Lepisosteus oculatus: one gene and its partner. The protein of the gene in region 1 purifies or fractionates together with the protein of each later gene. This does not show direct contact. Links are inferred from orthologs where the notes say so. Each region holds a gene or a part of one and is shown in the gene's direction. Other genes may lie near its edges.

Region 1 (8,117 bases):
AGGGGGCTTTTGTCAAACTGCGTGTGTCTGACAAAGCCATAAATCACAGTGCAGCACCACACCTCTTTCCCTGTGTCCTTGCCCTGCTGGGGTCTGCTGCTGGGACCAGAGTGAAACCCCCAATAATGTGTTTCTGACGAGATTCCGTTTCCTATCTTTCCAAAGAAAGTATAAGCTATTTTTTTTAAGTCATAATCCATTTTTTGTTCTACTGTCTGATACCCTGTAGATTTTGTACTTCTAATCCGGATGCCTCTTGTATTGTTTTAGGTCCATGAAGCCATGTCATTTGTGAAATCTCTATCAAGGGTTAATTTTCTTTATGAAGAATAACTGGAAAACTGCAAAGCCATGTGAAATGTGAATGAGGGTCAAAGGACTGTCTCCACTGTAGGAGAGAGTAAATTGGTTCTTAAAATGAGATTCTGAGTGAAACCTATAGGTCTGAGGTTTAATTTCCATGGAGACATGCATGAAAATGTTTCCGTTTTCCCTGCCACATGGATTCTCTTATGTACTGTATGTCATAGACATCGGTTTGCAATGGTGTCAGCAGTTGAAATGGTGGTAAAACATACTTTAGCTCCTATTAGCACAGTTAATCTTTATCTCTAAAAGCTATTTGATATAAATTCATTGCCGGTTTGGAGCATGTACTGTACATGCTTTCTGCTTTGGCTAGGGGTCAAGATTTTTGACAAACTAGATTTCTGTTGCCATCATCGATATGCGTGAAAGAAATAATGATCATAAAGTCAGACGTTAGATTCTAAGACCAGGAGAAAGTGACAGGAGTTTTGCAAGGATTCAAGATTCACTGACATCCCATCGGGCTCTGGCGTCAGGTTCTGTGTTTTTGAACAGAATGGTTAATAAACGTCTGCCCACAACGTGCCAAGACCTGTCCAGTAAAACCCCAGGTCTGCAGGGGCTCCAGGGACAGCTTTAGCCCGCAGTGGGGGCAGTGTCCATTGACTTGCATATAACCCAATAAATATACTTGAGGAGTGCTAAAATATAATCTGCGTTCGCATGGGCTCTGTGAAAGCAGTGGTGTGTGTAAAGGGGAGCACAGTGAAGATGGAACTGTTATCCCTGGGCCAAAAAGGGCGCAGTGGAGGAGGATTAGTTGGTAGACCAGCTTCTGAAATATTGGAGTGAAGGAGCATTTAAAAAGAAAGGTTGTCCTGAGAAATTTGAGCTTGATAGCATTTTATTTATTTTGACCTGGAGCAAAAGCTGCAGTTAGAAAGAACATGGCACAGAGCGAATTTCTGCTTGAACTTTGTCAGTTGCCCACTGTTTGTGTGTTGCACAGGATTAAGATTAAAGATTTGGTTCAGGGTATTTTGGACAAAGGTATAACCTGTATGTTTTTTCCCATCATTATCCGTTAATTTTTCTATTATTTTGAAACCTCTGAAACCTATTATTGTCAGTATCTGTTATGTCATACTGTATATGATTGGCTTTGACCATTTTTACAACCCTAGAAAGCAGAAACATCTTCTAACTCTCTTAGCTTAATTTTGTCACATTTAGCAGCCAGGGGCTGTTTCCTTATTAGCTGTGTCTTTACAGCACATCAGGATGGCACATCTGTACTATGGCTGGTGACATGGGCATACTGGATACAGTATATTGATTTAATAAGGAACATCTTACAGGCTTATGGTGTTTTTTATGAGTAAGTGTCTATATAGCTGACAACATCTACCTTATAAATATTGTAGCACTCTCGGGTTCATGTGGGTATGCGCCCTTGCTGCTGCCGCCTCAGGTCGGTCCCCAACTGCTGGGGACTCGAACGCGCAGCCAGTTGAGCTAAAGGGAAATCTCCCCTCAGCCCGGCAGCTGCGGTCCTGCTTCACAGGGGTGGGCTGACGTCACCGCACTGGTAAGCCGGCTCACACAACCTGCAAAAGCGGCCATATGCGTTACAACATTATTTAAAATGCTGTGAAATCTAAAGAGATATCACTTGTGAGAATAAACCTATTCAGTCTTCCACTCTTCCTTTCATAGGGAAACTAGGCTGTAGTTGTCTGCAATAACCAAGTGACAGGATTATTACAGCTATACACTATTGTTTTGTACTGTATTGATTAGAAAAAAAACGTTTCTTTACAATTCATCCCAAAGTGCAAGATCGCTTAAATGTAATAACTACAGATATAATCTTTGTGTTGCAAATGATTATTAATCATGCTATGGGGCAGAACCATATGATTTATGACAGGCAGGAAATGAATTGCTTGAGATGGTTGCAGCCTAAGGAAATCTCCACCTAATCTCAAACTGCAGAAGCTACAACATAGAAAATGTTAAGCACAAAATGTTTACACAGATGTTGGTTGTTATCAGTACATATATATATATACGCACTTTAAATATATGTACAGTTTATATAATGTGAGCAGCCCATGTGGCTGGAGACCAGGTCCAGGTAGTTGTGCCGGAACCTTGAACTTGAACTTTACTGCCATATGTAACCGGTACATGTACTGGTAAAATGGAATTCTTACTTTATCAATCAGTGCAAGTGGATGATTGGGCTGGATTTGCACAATGAAAGAGTCCCTTCAAGCCCTACCACTTGCTTTTGTCCATTTCCCTGTCCTGACTCTGAAACTACGAAGTAGGAGCTCAGCAAACAGGGATTTGCACTTTTTTCCCTGTACAGGGCCCAAAGTCCTTTCCAGCGCTCCCTCGTTGTGGAGAAGCCCTATTTGGCAACGTAGCGCTTCATCCTCCCTCTGAGGTCCACAAGGGTCCTCTCCTCCACTCCCCACTCTGCGTTGTGCTGGAGGAGAGTCCGGTCCTCGGCCCAGGCGAATGTGTCCCTGCGGAGCTGGAGATTCCAGCTGACTGATCTCCCTTCCATCCTCTTCCTAACGTCTGTTTGTTCTTGATGATGTGGGGCAGGGCGTGCCTCAGTCTGCTGGCCAGTAGCATGGACAGGATCTTGACATCCATGCAGAACATCGTGATCAGCCTCCAGTTCTTGAGGTCTGCGGTGTCCTCCCCTTGAAGAGTAGGGAGATGACGCATACCCTCATGGGTGTCTCCAGGTTTTCACTGGTGGAGATCTCCTGTTCCACCTCCACCAGATCTGCCAGAAGCAGGTGTAGAATTCCTTGGGGAGTCTGTCCGGCCCTGGCACTTTGCCATTCTATATGGACCAAAGCGCCTACTTCGGCTCCTCCGCCGTAATCGGGCCCTCCAAGTCCTCCCTCACCTCCTCTGGCACTCTTGCTTTGAGCCTCTCCAGAAAAGCATTGCCTGCTTCCACCTCTATCTGCTTTTCTGAAAAGAGTTCTTTGTAGATTTCAGTCGTTGATTCTGGTTTGTCGCCCTCTGAGGCTGTGGATGATTCTCTTCTTCTAGGCACCCTGGACCTGATTAAAGAAATAGGAAGAACAGGTTTCATTATTTTCTCTCTTGGAATTATATCGTGCTTTTCCAAAAAGAGATCCCAAAGCACTTCACATGCAGAAGGGGGATCCACGTCATCCACTCTGCTCCAGCAGCCCGGCTGCACTGCAAATCAGGTGGGGAAGTGAGAAAATACTCCACCAAGTCAATTAAGGAGAAAATAATCGGGAAGATCAGATTGTGCAAATCCAAAGTGGAATTAGCCGGGGTAAACATGCCCACTCTTACAAACAGTGTCCTGGGTGTTCTGAAGACCGAGTAGGCACAGCTTCCGTTTAACAGCTCATCTGAAGGACTACACTTGGGCATTGATTTGCATTTTATGGTCCAGAGGGAGGAGTGTCCCAACACCATTTACAGCAGCACCCTTCCTCAGCTGCTGAGGTCTAACCAGATTTAGATACAGTGTGGTGTTGCTGTAACACGACTTCTGCACAGGTTTTGCAACTGATCTGATTGGAAGAGGGGATTGGTACCCTTACTAACGTAAAAAAAAACATTTTGGTCTTAGATGTAATTGGCTTGGTAATCTCACAATCCACTGTTGGATCCGTCAACAGCGATTTGAAGTCGGACGTGTAAATTAGTTAATGCAGATGTCTGACTCAGTATCGAAGCGCAAGAGCACGTCACTGTTTTCCTAAGGCAGAGATTGTGTCTATTAATTTATGTCTAGCCCCTGAAATGTATTTTTTGTAGTCGCACACATTCACGCATATATTTTCATGTTTGAAAGGAATCCATTTTACAAGTCAGATTAGCCTCCTCCCTTTTTCCTTCATCATTCCTTTTTTTGCGGTAGAACAAAAAGAACAAAAAAGTACCTGGACCTCAGTGTTCTTTCCAATTAGCACAGCTCACAGCTCTCAGCCTGTGTTTCTATGGAGCAGCTCTGCTGTACCATGTTTACAGCCCTGCACATTTAAATAAGGGTTGTTTGAGAGCACTAAGCAGATTGCGAAAGGGTTAGCTGGTGGCCATTGATGAAATGGCACAGAATTGTGTTTTTGTTTCTCAGTGTTGATACTGTTTCCCCATTTTAAGGGAGCTAAGAATAGAGCACACACCCTGAAGAGTGTAGCATTTGATGCAGGTTTGTTTGTGCTCCAGGAATTTGACTCTCCAGTCAGGAGTGCTACCCCCTGCTGGTGGTGAATGGGGTACAGTTTGTGTTCCCTTTATTTTCATGTTTATTGTGCTTAAGCCGCCGGCTGGATGCAGCACAGCTCAGTCAACATGTGGATGCCTTAACAAGTGGGAACTCTGATAGGTTTCAGTTGCATCTCTGCTCGCTGCTTCTTCTCCCAAGCGGCGAGCAGTTCAGTTCGGGAGACCCAGCACGTGCTCACCAATTAAATACCAGCTGCTTCTGTTTTTTTTTTTTAATTTTCCAAAAAGGACACAAGCGCTCTTCTGTCCAGGAGCATCTTCTGCGGTGGGAGTGTGTGGGGTGGGGCGGGGGGGAAAAAGAAAAAAAGAAAGGTCTTTACATTATTCATTTGCATCTTTTCTCCCTCTCTCTCTTTCGCCTACCTCACGCACGGACGTTCAGCGCCGCGGCATTGCGAGAGTTTCAGCAAAAGTGCTGGGAGCGAAAAAACAATGTTCAGGTCCTGCCTGTAATTGAATGGATTAGCAATCTATTCTGAGAGCTAATGAGATTAAAGTGTCATTGTTGACATGGGGCGCTACAGCGTGGCACCTTTTGTTGAGCTCCTTGGGGAGTGTTTGTCCTGTCAGTTCCTCTATGCTGGAAATGGCGTTCTGATGCTGAGCAAGGGAGACGCAGAAGAGGCGGATGCCAGGGAATAAAAATTGCATGATTACCTACGCTGGCTTGTGGTGTGGAATTGTAGAAGCGGTGGACAAAATGAAATATCAGAAATATCTGACTGTTCTGCAGATGGCTTTGGGAGTGACTGCCTCCAACAGAAACAACCTCCTTCCTTATAAAAGACGGATGTGGTGAGTATGCATTTCAGGGGATAAATATGGGATGCTGCCGGGGAGAAATATACTGGCCGTATCAGTGTTATCTAATGATGAGAGGGATGCACACTGCCATTGTGCTCCATTCACACTGCAGAATTGGCTTGTTAGCTTTGTCGGGGAAGGCGACTCTATCATCTTTTGTTTGGATAAGATGCAGACACGAGCCTGCCTTTCTGTTTCGTGCTGCAATTGTTTTAATTGCACAGATCTGGAGGTCTACATGCAGAAGGCAGTGTGTTTGTCTGCGTGGGGGATCTGAGCAGGCACTGCCCTTTATTAGCAACTAGCATGCATGATATCATTCTTCTATTTTTATTATTAAAATGGAATGTTAGGAAAATTGTTATTTCTGCATAACGCTGTACATTCTGGCTAGGAAATGCAGTAATTGTTTCTAATAAGGTGGATGGTTATTTGAAAATCACACAATAGAAGTAGAATAGCATTCCATTTTAATGTAATGATCAATTCTTTGTATCAATTATATCTGCACATTAATATTTTCCATAACATAAATCAATTGTATATGTACCTGTGTATATACACTTGCATTGAAATGTTATTCTTTATTAAATACGTGTTTAAAATGCAGGCATATCGTTAAGTTGAAAGGAAATTATAATGCACTGCTGTCTTAAAATATTAATTCATTCTGTATTAAGTTAATCTGAATAAAATATGGCATAAAAAAATTCTAGTGTTTTTCTTCATTTGCTATTTTTATTTAGTTTCAAAGGTTAAATAAAGTGAAACAGTTCTTGGACTGCACACTCACTAGTCTCTTTATTAAAGCATTACAATAATAATTTTATAGTTGTCATCTATCTATGTATATAGCTATATCTACAGTAAACATTATAATACATGCTAAGCATAATAATTCTTGTATTTAAAAAAACAACTGTATGAGTCATACTCACTAATCTAGAATGATCACACAGTTGTGGGAAGAAATGCTTTTCGCTTAACAAATTGACATTTGCTGTTGTTTTTTATGTTTGGTATAATTTACCATTTCCAAATGTTTAATCTAATCATTTAATCATTTAATCATTTATTTTGGTGCATTTTTTAGTGTATTTTTAGTGTATTTCTGTAAAATGAGAATCATTATTACAAATTATTTCTGTAGACAAAATTCTATTATAAAATGTAATGTTTCTCACAAGAACATATTGTTTAAAGGTGAAATTTCAAGTGTAATTATTCTGTGTACAGAAAATACTGACAGGTGATCTGATACATACAGTATGACCAACAGGTTTTATGCAGGCATATCTTAAATAATATCTGTGATCAAATATCCAGGATAAAGAAGTAGAATATGAAAGAAAAGGTCTGGAAGGCTGATTTCCCAAGGACTGTTGGGAAATTCGTGAGATGTGGGTCCTCACAGGAGCCTGTCATTTCTGATCAGGAGCAAACGTTGACAGATTTATCATTGTGACACTGTTTCTGTAGGAGCCCCTGGGTCTTAACACAGGTTTGGATAAAGTTTATTTTAGGTTCTAAAATATTCTTAAGGAATAATGAGAGGCTAGCAGATTCTGCTGTGAGTGGGTCTAAACTAGAAAGCCTATTGTATGTCAGCTTCCAATAATGTATGTCCAGATGTCTGTTTCCAGTTTGCAGCATAATGTGGCCGTTGTTAAATGATGCGTGAATTCTCCCCTAACAACATGTAATGATCTGATTGTTACCAACAAAGAAATATATTACCAGTATTTGATCACACATCAAGGACTTTTGCAAATGCAGTCATTATGTTATGTGATCGCATACAGTATATACAATGGGCTTTGACTATGAGCTTTTATGTTATTGGGTGATTAACAGCATCCACATTACTTTGTTCAAAACAAAATTAAAATGGCTATCCCAGCAGCAGACCTTAAATGTTGGTGGTCATATTTTCTTTCTTTATATTTATTATTTTTAAATCAATTTTTGTCATGAGTTGTTTTTATTTTTAAATTAGCACATCCCTCCTCTGCTGCTCATTCTGATCCCCTATTTTTAATGGTTCATATTCCTAACTGGGCAGATTACTATTCAGCAGGCTTTTTACAGTCTTTAACTTGAGGTGTGTCCAGATCAGGTCACCAGAAGAGTGAGTTCATCAGGTCTCAGCACTCTACTGCAATAAAGGAGTCCTTTGTACATCAATGCAGCCTTGTTGTTCTAGAGTAGAAACCAGGGTGGGTAAAGTGAATGAGCTACTTCTCCAAAAACAAGCCAATCCTTCCAAGGCACAATGAAGGCAAATTGACAGCCAACGCAACTGAGTAAGGTCACTCTGCTGTGCCTCAATAAAGTGCACTAAGGGTGGAGGGGAGATTTTAATTTCCTTTACGCTTGTCACATCGATTTCTGTATGTCTACACACTGTACATAAACATACTGCATATAATGTTCAAAATCAGATCTTGAGCAGTATGCCTTACACTCAGTGGTCTTTGAAGATAGAAAGACTCTTATCGTGATGAAATTCTGTCTTCACCACTGGTATCACACAAACGTAGACGGGTCATGAGAAATAATGTTGCCACACTGAGGCTTCGTGTCCAATCTACTTGTTTACTTTTCCTTTGATGAATCACGGTGTTTGTATCTGGAGTTGATTGCAGCACTTAGTTTACACTCAATTAAAGCTCCGGCAACCTGAAGGACAGATAGAGCTGAAGTACATG
Region 2 (8,228 bases), on another chromosome or scaffold:
TTCAAGTTTTGTCCTGTTCTGTTGGAAGTGAGGCATTAATCTTTGGAAGAGTTTTAAATGCTGCTAAAATGTTTTTATTCACAACAGTGAAGGGTTACACATAACCAAGTCCAAGTCAATAAACACAACAAAAAAAAACACATAAAACTAACACCGTCCTCTTTCTTTGGAGTCCTAGCAACACTTTACAAGACACCTGTCTAAGGCAGGGGTCCCCAGTCCTGTTACAGGAGGGCCTGTGTGTCTCCAGGTTCTCTAGGCCTCTTGAAAGTACCGTTAGCTGACGAGCGCAGATTTAAGAAGGTTCCACAGCAGAAACGTTGTGTTTCTTTTCTTTATCTTTCAGCATGGAGTGAACCTTTACCTGTTTCTTTGAAATGGCCTGAAAGAAAACTTGTGTATGTTTTATGAACCAGGCAACCCATTGGTTCAGTTATGAATTCAGTCAAGCAAACGGCTCAGCTGCAATGAATACCAGCAGGTGTTGGCGTTGTCACGATATTAGTTCCCCCTCCTTAAGGGTGCTCCAGCCCTTTCACTAAAGACTCTATTCTATGCACCTGCTCCCTATTCCCAGCCCACCTTAAAAGCCAGGCGCTGACGCTCTTCCGGGCTCTGCATCTGATTTCCATATCGTGCGAGTCCGGGACCTGGAAGCGCCTGGTCCCGTTAAGGTTTTAACCTCCGTTCCCATTCCGGTTCCGACCCGGCCTTCATGGTTTTTAACTTGTTCTGATGGATCTTCTGGTTTTGGACTTTCTCGTGTGTTTTGGATATTCCCTAAGGACTACTCTCTCGGATTGTTCGCCTCGGCCACACTCCCCTGTGCACCAGCGCACCGTGGACACGCCCCCCTGTCTTCTGCCCCGTATTCCTGCATGACGTTTCCCTAGTGTTTCCCCACTCCGTCGGATTGTGTCATCTGCATAGGGTCCGGAAAGAACTGTTCGTTACAGGCGTCCCCAGAACCAGGACTGGAAATCCCTGAATCGAACCAGCCCTGGTGGACCCGAAGAGCTACACAATTACAGAGAACTCAGATCACCCCACCCTTGGTCCTACTGGTGTTGTGTAGTTCAGGGCCTCATGAGCCACAGTCTCCACTGATGTTCACTCTACCAAAGCTCTTAATTAGTTAGTTGAATCAAGCATTGATTTAATATCTACTAAAACAAACGGTTTCCACGTTTCTATTCACTGGTGAGTGTGTGAGCTCCCTCTGAAACACAGAGCTGTGTCTTACAACAAGTGAGGATCGCTGATGTAGCAGAAGACTGGCATTCAACAGACTGCCTACCATTACAGTACTGAGAGCAAATTTCAAAGCATTTGCTTGGCGGTGTTCTTGCTTTGCCCGTGTTGCTGAAAGTCCTTTTTTCGGTTCTGCTTAAATAGATGCTTTCTGTGTTGTTTTTGTGGTAGCCTACTGTTATTGAAACATAATCGCACCTTGGCATTGCAAGAAATGTTCAACAGCAGCCACTCCTGTCTTGTTGTGTTTTGTAAACTAACTTGTAAATAAACTTCTACATTTTGACTACAAACAGTGTGTGGTAGATATAGTAGAATATCGATAAATACTTCTGTAGAGATGTTTTCATACTGGACTTGCCTTATATTTGTTTCACTAAAAACATATTTTTCAGGGGTTTTTGGTTTACTTTACCTAAAGTTCAGCTCAGTCTGATTTTTGAATACCACAGAAAGATTCCCCACAGTCACTTAAGAAATGTTTGCCTTAAACGTGAAGTACTATATAGAAATGATCAGCATAGTCTTTTCCCCACATATATTTAATGCCTCCCTAGCTTTTTGTCAAATAAAGAGTCTTGGCAAAGATTTTAAAGAAATGTGGATTGGTTGCTAAGCAGGAAGTACCTCTTTACACAAAGCTACTCAAATCTACATCCATACCAAACCTGACACTGACCTGGCTGTCTCTTTTCTGTCTAATCGCATCTCCGCCATCAAAAACATGGATGTCTCAAAATGTCCTTCGTCAAACTGTGACAAGACTGATGTCATGCTTATTGGCGCCCCCATCAGCTTTGTAAAGCCAAGGCTGTACTTGAACGTCAGTCTAAATGGAAAAATTTGGGGGTGATATTTGATTCAGGCTAGACATCCGACCCACACGTGCAACATATCAAAAACATTTTCTTTCACCTCAAACATATCGCTAGACTATGTCCTATGTTATTGCTACCTGTGGCTGAAAAGCTGATCAACACATTTGTCTTCTCCCGGATCGACTACTGTAATGCTCTACGCGCTGGGGTTTCTAAATCCACACTGAACAAAAAACTCCAGTGTGTCCAAAGATTTGGCAGCCAGAATCCTGACCAGGTCTAGTGCAAGTGATCCCATTACTCCAATCCTGGAGTTCTTGCACTGGCTTCCTGTCAAGTTTCATGTCGACTTCAAAATCCCCATGCTCACCTATAAGGTGTCAAATCCCACACTTCTCCTCGCAAACGCCATGGCATTCCCAAACCCACTGTTTCACACACTCATTCCCACGGAAACCACCACATTCACACATGCATCCGATTCCACAGACTTTCACTCCTGAACCAATTATCCAACCACATCTCTCTCCCTTCAGTATTCAAGCTTCCCTCAGTTACCAACCCACGCACACGATGGAGAAGCTTCCCTTAGAGTTCTCTACTGATTTTCACAGTTCCTGGACTAAACTCTTCCCTTATCAACTTCACTACTTGGATACTGCTTCTCGGATTTCTTGCCCTCGTTTGGATTACCCTGGTAACCTGACTCATTGCTACTTCTCCCGACCTAGCCTCAGGAATCCATGCCTCGGATTAAGTTCTAGTGCTACTCTGCATTCCGCAGAGTTCACGGCATCGCATGGGATCCTCCTACTCAACCTATCAGTTCCTGACATAAGGCTTGGCATGGCTTGGCACCTCAGTACCTGTGTGAGCTACTATAGCCCTACTCCTCACCTCACAACCTTCGCTCTTCTAATTGTGGTCTCCTACCTGTCCCCCAAGCCCATCTACACTCTGAGTGACAGGGTCTTCTCCTGTTATGCCCCAAAGCTCTGGAACTCTTTCCCCAGGAATATCAGAGAGTCACCTTCTCTAAACTCCTCAAAACCCTTCTTTTTTGGAAGAGCCTTTACTTAACTGGTTCTGTTCTTCACCCCTCTGCTCCTGCTGTACTCAGTACCTCCATCTACTGTCTCCTCTCATTGTGTATTCTCAGTGTGTACTGTATATGTTATATTTTTTCATTTTTGTTTTTATTGTTCTATAAAGTGCTTTGAGAACCCACTTTTAAAGGCGCTATATACAATAAAGCCACATGTCGAAAAGCGAAAATACGAATACGAAAAGCCACATGTCCTTATCTATCTTAAGAATTATTTCTATGTCCTCAGCACCATTTTCTCCACAACACATGTACTGAATCTAGGATTCTGCTATCCATGCTTTGTTTTTACTCAGCTGGCCGCAGAGTGGAATTGGGTCCTATATTTAAATCAATTATGGGTGAGATTCTCTGATGTACAGGTGTGAAAAATTAATAACTGATGGTTTTTTTAAAGCTTTTAGCCAAATATCATTTTTAATAATGCCACTATTTTTTTCTTACAAAATTGCGTAAACAACTTGTCAGTAAATTTATTATCAAAACCCTTCATGAAATTATTTGACTATCTTATTACGATGGATTGCAAACCACACAGACTGGAACAATGGTGTTACTGTACATTTCTACTGCCTTTAAGTTCTCCAGATGCAAATACATGCTGATTTGTTGTCCCATTTAACTGTCACGGTAGTCATGTCCTGTTTTGCAGTTATCAAATGCATTCTTTGCTGTGAAGCTCAGCTAGTCTATGTTGCTTCAGCGGCATATTGTTCGGATGCAGAGCGAGGGAGGAGTTGATACTGTATAGAATAATACCACACAAATACCCCAGGGCAACTTTCCACACTGTCAAGCTGGATCATTGGTAAGTCGTGTTGGTGGACCAGCAGATGTACAATCGTTGTTCATTTGAGACATTAAGACAAGATCCTGACTTTTGGTCCTTAAAGACCCTCTGGTCCTGTTCACAAAAGGGGGGCCTACCACATAAGAGTTCAGTATAAACACCTCTGTTTTGGAATTGGATCAGATCAGTTGGATTTCATTTAATAAATTATTCTGAATTGTAATTCCATGTATTTATGTTAACTGCTTTCTTAGATACAATTACAATCCAAATACATATTTGTAGATGCTGGTGGATGCTGCACATTGGTGGTGGTAGAGGGGAGTCCCCATTACCTGTAAAGCGCTATGTAAGTGAAAACAATTATTATTATTATATCTATTTTATCTACATTTTTGGAACCCTAAAACGTTTTCCGGAAAGAAGAAGTTACGAGAATTAAGAACAGGAAAATGATTTGATATAATTTTTCCACCTGTAAAATCTTGGATTGTTCAAATATCGTCTGCAAGAGATGCTGCTTTACTCTCATAATCTTTGCTGTTTGGACAAGACGGGTGACTTTTTTTTTATCTTAATTGGACCAATACATGAGCAATCCACGCTCTCGATTATAGCACGGTAAAAGACGAGCATTCCCTTCCAACTTCACTCTTAATCTTCGCAAAAATACAAACTCTCAATTTGAGTAGTCCAGCTCAGGTTGCTGTAAGATCACAATCAGAGGTTCCCAGTTTTGCTGGTTAAAACTTTTTCTGCAGTTGTCAGCAAGAGAGTAGTTTCTGTCTCGTGATGTGGCAACGGGAAGAAAGACGTTCATGAAAGTTTACTTCACCACTACAGCAACCAAACGACTGCGCATCGAAGGGAGTGTTTCGAATAAACATTCAGATCAAATGTATTAAAACCTACGTAGTGACGAGCATGTTTCTCATGTATGAAAATATGTTAACAGGAATGTGACAAGTGGACGGCTGCCATCTTGAAAATCTGACACGATTGTTTCTATCGATTTCACATTATAGAGTTAAAATGCCTAGGGCTCCCGGTACCAGTACAGATTACGGTTTCGTTGCTTTTATCGTTTTCTCTATTCTTAACCAGCACAGTTATTCAGCTGTGTAATTGAGGAGTGTTAATTAGAGGTACTGAATCCTGCAATTACAGGTAGTCTAAAAAATATCTCCGACAAAAACACTCCACCTACGCGCACAGAAAGTTAACCTGCCAGTATCTACCAGGGGAACCGGTTGGTGTGCTTTGTTATGAATCCAGGTTTGGTCTACGGCGGGGTGGAAATCAAGCCTGACATCACCAATGAGGAACAAGTAAAGGTTTATTTGATGCTGAACAGAGAACCGTTTCGGGATCACCAATGACGTTGCAGACAGGAGCAGCACCAGTCCTGTGAGTCTCTGAGAGCAAGGTGTGTCCTGCGCCAGTATTGGCATACGGGTTTTAGCAGACACAAGGCAGGTGTGGAAATACTGAAGAGGTTTGGTAAGTTTATTGCTTATATATTGTTACGAGTATACGTACAACACGTATTTTATACTTATATTTTGTCTTGTTTAGTAGGTTAACATCAGAGAAGTACATCTGCGGGTGTTTTGTTTTTGTTGTTTCTATTGCCGGTGGCGTTTTCTCCACGTTGTTGTAATATTTTCTTCATGTTCTTTACCTAGTAAGGTTGATTTTTCAATTGAGATAAGAGAAGAAAAAATGTTCCGTTTTTAAAAAACAGGTCAAAATACTGCAGCGAATTATTATTTTTTTAATTGTAAAGTTGCCTTGCCGTAGACGATTATAATTTAACTCGGTAAAATGGTCGTTTTCCTGTCGGAGGCACCACTGAAAATGCTGGTTGTGTTCTGAGAGAATGTAAACATGATTTTCCTCGTTTCAGAAACGATTTGTTTCAGGTTTATTTCAAACGTACACCTGAAAACGTTGCGCAATGGACGAATTTCTGTTTTAGTTTCTTTGCACAGGTGTTTTGTCTTCAGGTATGATAGAGACTGGGCGGGTTTTAATAAACTAACGTCATCGTATTAATCTTAATAAAACTGCCTACTCTTGTTCTGTTCAAACCTGGTTAATCTGAATGGTGTTTTGTATGGCGAACCGAACATATACAGTATTTTAAAAATGGGTAGGTTTCACAAACTTAATGTCCATACGGGGTTATTCACGTTGCCTCTCCTCATTTTTAATTGAGCTTTTGAACTACATATTAAAGAATAAAACGGCTTCGCATTATAAACTGGAGCAGATATGAAATAACCTGTTTCTGAGGTTTGTTACCTGATTTATTCGGTTTTTGTTCAGTGATTGAAAAATGTCGAAAACTTTATTTAAGCTATTTGTTGACACGAGTTGCCTATAATTACGCCAGAGAAATTTGCCAGTTCTCAATATTATTTGCGAGATCTCATTCCTAAAGAAGAATATTCTAATAAGCTTGTAGTGTCAAAACAACGGATCGAATATGACTAATCGAAATTAAAACTGACGGTAGAAAAACCACATGTTCGAAACTACCAAATTTCCAGTTGGACAACTTAAAGCTTATTTGATATTAATTGCGTTTCTTAGATCTCTCCCAGTTCAAAGTGTACATTTTTAGTAATTGGAGATCCGCATACCCTTTTAACTCCCTTTCATTTAGTGAATTGCGTTACAAACGTTTATTTGTGTTATCTTATGGAGGGCTGTTTTATGTTGAGCAGTAATTCATATTTTTATCGCCTAGAGAGCGTTCTCAGATCCTGATTAGCTTTATGAAGATTTTACTTTTAGTTTTCGGGTTTTGCAACATAACCCAGATACAACCACACCTTTTCATCCTTCGCGCTCGGTATTCACAAAAAACACAGTGTTTAGATATGATGATCATGCGTTAGCTTTTATTAAAAAATATATATATATTTTCCCGTTTCAGATTGTTAAATAATAAATGTTTAGTTTCTGTACACCAATTCAAACACTAAGAAGAGTAAATGTCTGACGCATAATTTCTGGTACAAACCTTAATACGTTACTGTGTGTCTGTTCCTCACAGATGTGTTAAAAATTGTATATTTAATTTTTCTTTCATTATATGAAATATCAAATTCCTACTTCTGTAGAATTATTTTAAAACATAAACACTGTGGAATGTTAAAATGTCCACATTAAGGATTTTGGTTATATGGACAGTGGTAATAGTTTTGTGTTCATGGAAAAGTAGGAGAACATTGTTTAGTCAGTGGAAAAATGCAATATACTGTGGTTTGAAAATTCAAAGACTATATTAATGCAGAAATGTTAAAATATTTTGGAATGTGTTTTTAGAGGTCAGCTGTAAGCTATGTATTACACCTAAAGAAGGCTCCACAGCTGAAACATTGTGTTTTCTTTCTTCTCTTTTCAGCATGGAATAAACCTATTACTTGCAGCTGTGTTTTATTCATATTTATTATTCATGGAATAAACCTATTCCTTTGCAGCTATAGATTACTACTTTTCTGCTGAAATAAAACTTGAGTGCTAGTAAATGACTAATACATACCTTTTTATATATCAGGGAAACTTGGCACATATATGTGTGCTGAATTTCACCTTGGGATTGCACAATCTCTTACATAAATGTATTAATTCAGTAGGTGAAATAATATCTTACTCCTGTGCTTTGTACTGGGTTCGACAGTGTGTCATCCACCCAGATGGGTCCTGTAATTCAGTAATGGATAAAGTGTCCCTACTGTACTGTCTTTAAGTCACTTTTGACTTCACAAATAATAAGGATGAAAAGCACAATACAATGGCAGACAATTCCTATTACTGATGACAGTCACCTCACGGGTAACTCACAAAAGTACCTAGCTAACGTTTATATAGACGTTATCCATTGAAGTGCTAGTGTGTTACTCATAAAGGATTAAGACATGGTTTATAGGAGACTCTTAAAATAAAGTGTTACTTTATTTTTATGTGCTGGCAAAAGCCTGATCATCAGAATTTGCAAAGTATGCAATTGTCTTTTGCGTTCTAAAATATCAATCAATCAATTATTGTTTGTTTTTTTTCAGCCATTAGGGTTTGGAAATTCACCTGTTGGGCTGTCCTTGCTGAGAATTTACTGACACGGCAGCTTTATTTTTCAAACTTGAGAATTTGGGGGGAATTTGCAGGGTAGCTCTGCCCTTCAAATGAGTTTTTGAATTTGTTCTAAAGCACAAAGTTGTGATGGACAGTCTACGTTGTACTGGTGAACGTTGCAACG

What was found.
Region 2: the proteins of tjp1a (region 1) and occludin purify together in Homo sapiens (affinity purification with western blotting; 4 studies listed by BioGRID and IntAct, with this or other methods). This does not show direct contact. The link is inferred for Lepisosteus oculatus from reciprocal best matches to the Homo sapiens genes TJP1 and OCLN.

The regions. Positions count from the first base shown.
Region 1 is NC_090700.1:47,024,905-47,033,021, reverse strand, and holds the start of tjp1a (tight junction protein ZO-1), read left to right. Parts: upstream 1-4,964; 5' UTR 4,965-5,233; coding exon 5,234-5,400; intron 5,401-8,117. UniProt on the Homo sapiens protein: TJP1, TJP2, and TJP3 are closely related scaffolding proteins that link tight junction (TJ) transmembrane proteins such as claudins, junctional adhesion molecules, and occludin to the actin cytoskeleton.
Region 2 is NC_090698.1:67,186,816-67,195,043, forward strand, and holds the start of occludin, read left to right. Parts: upstream 1-5,166; 5' UTR 5,167-5,464; intron 5,465-8,228. UniProt on the Homo sapiens protein: May play a role in the formation and regulation of the tight junction (TJ) paracellular permeability barrier.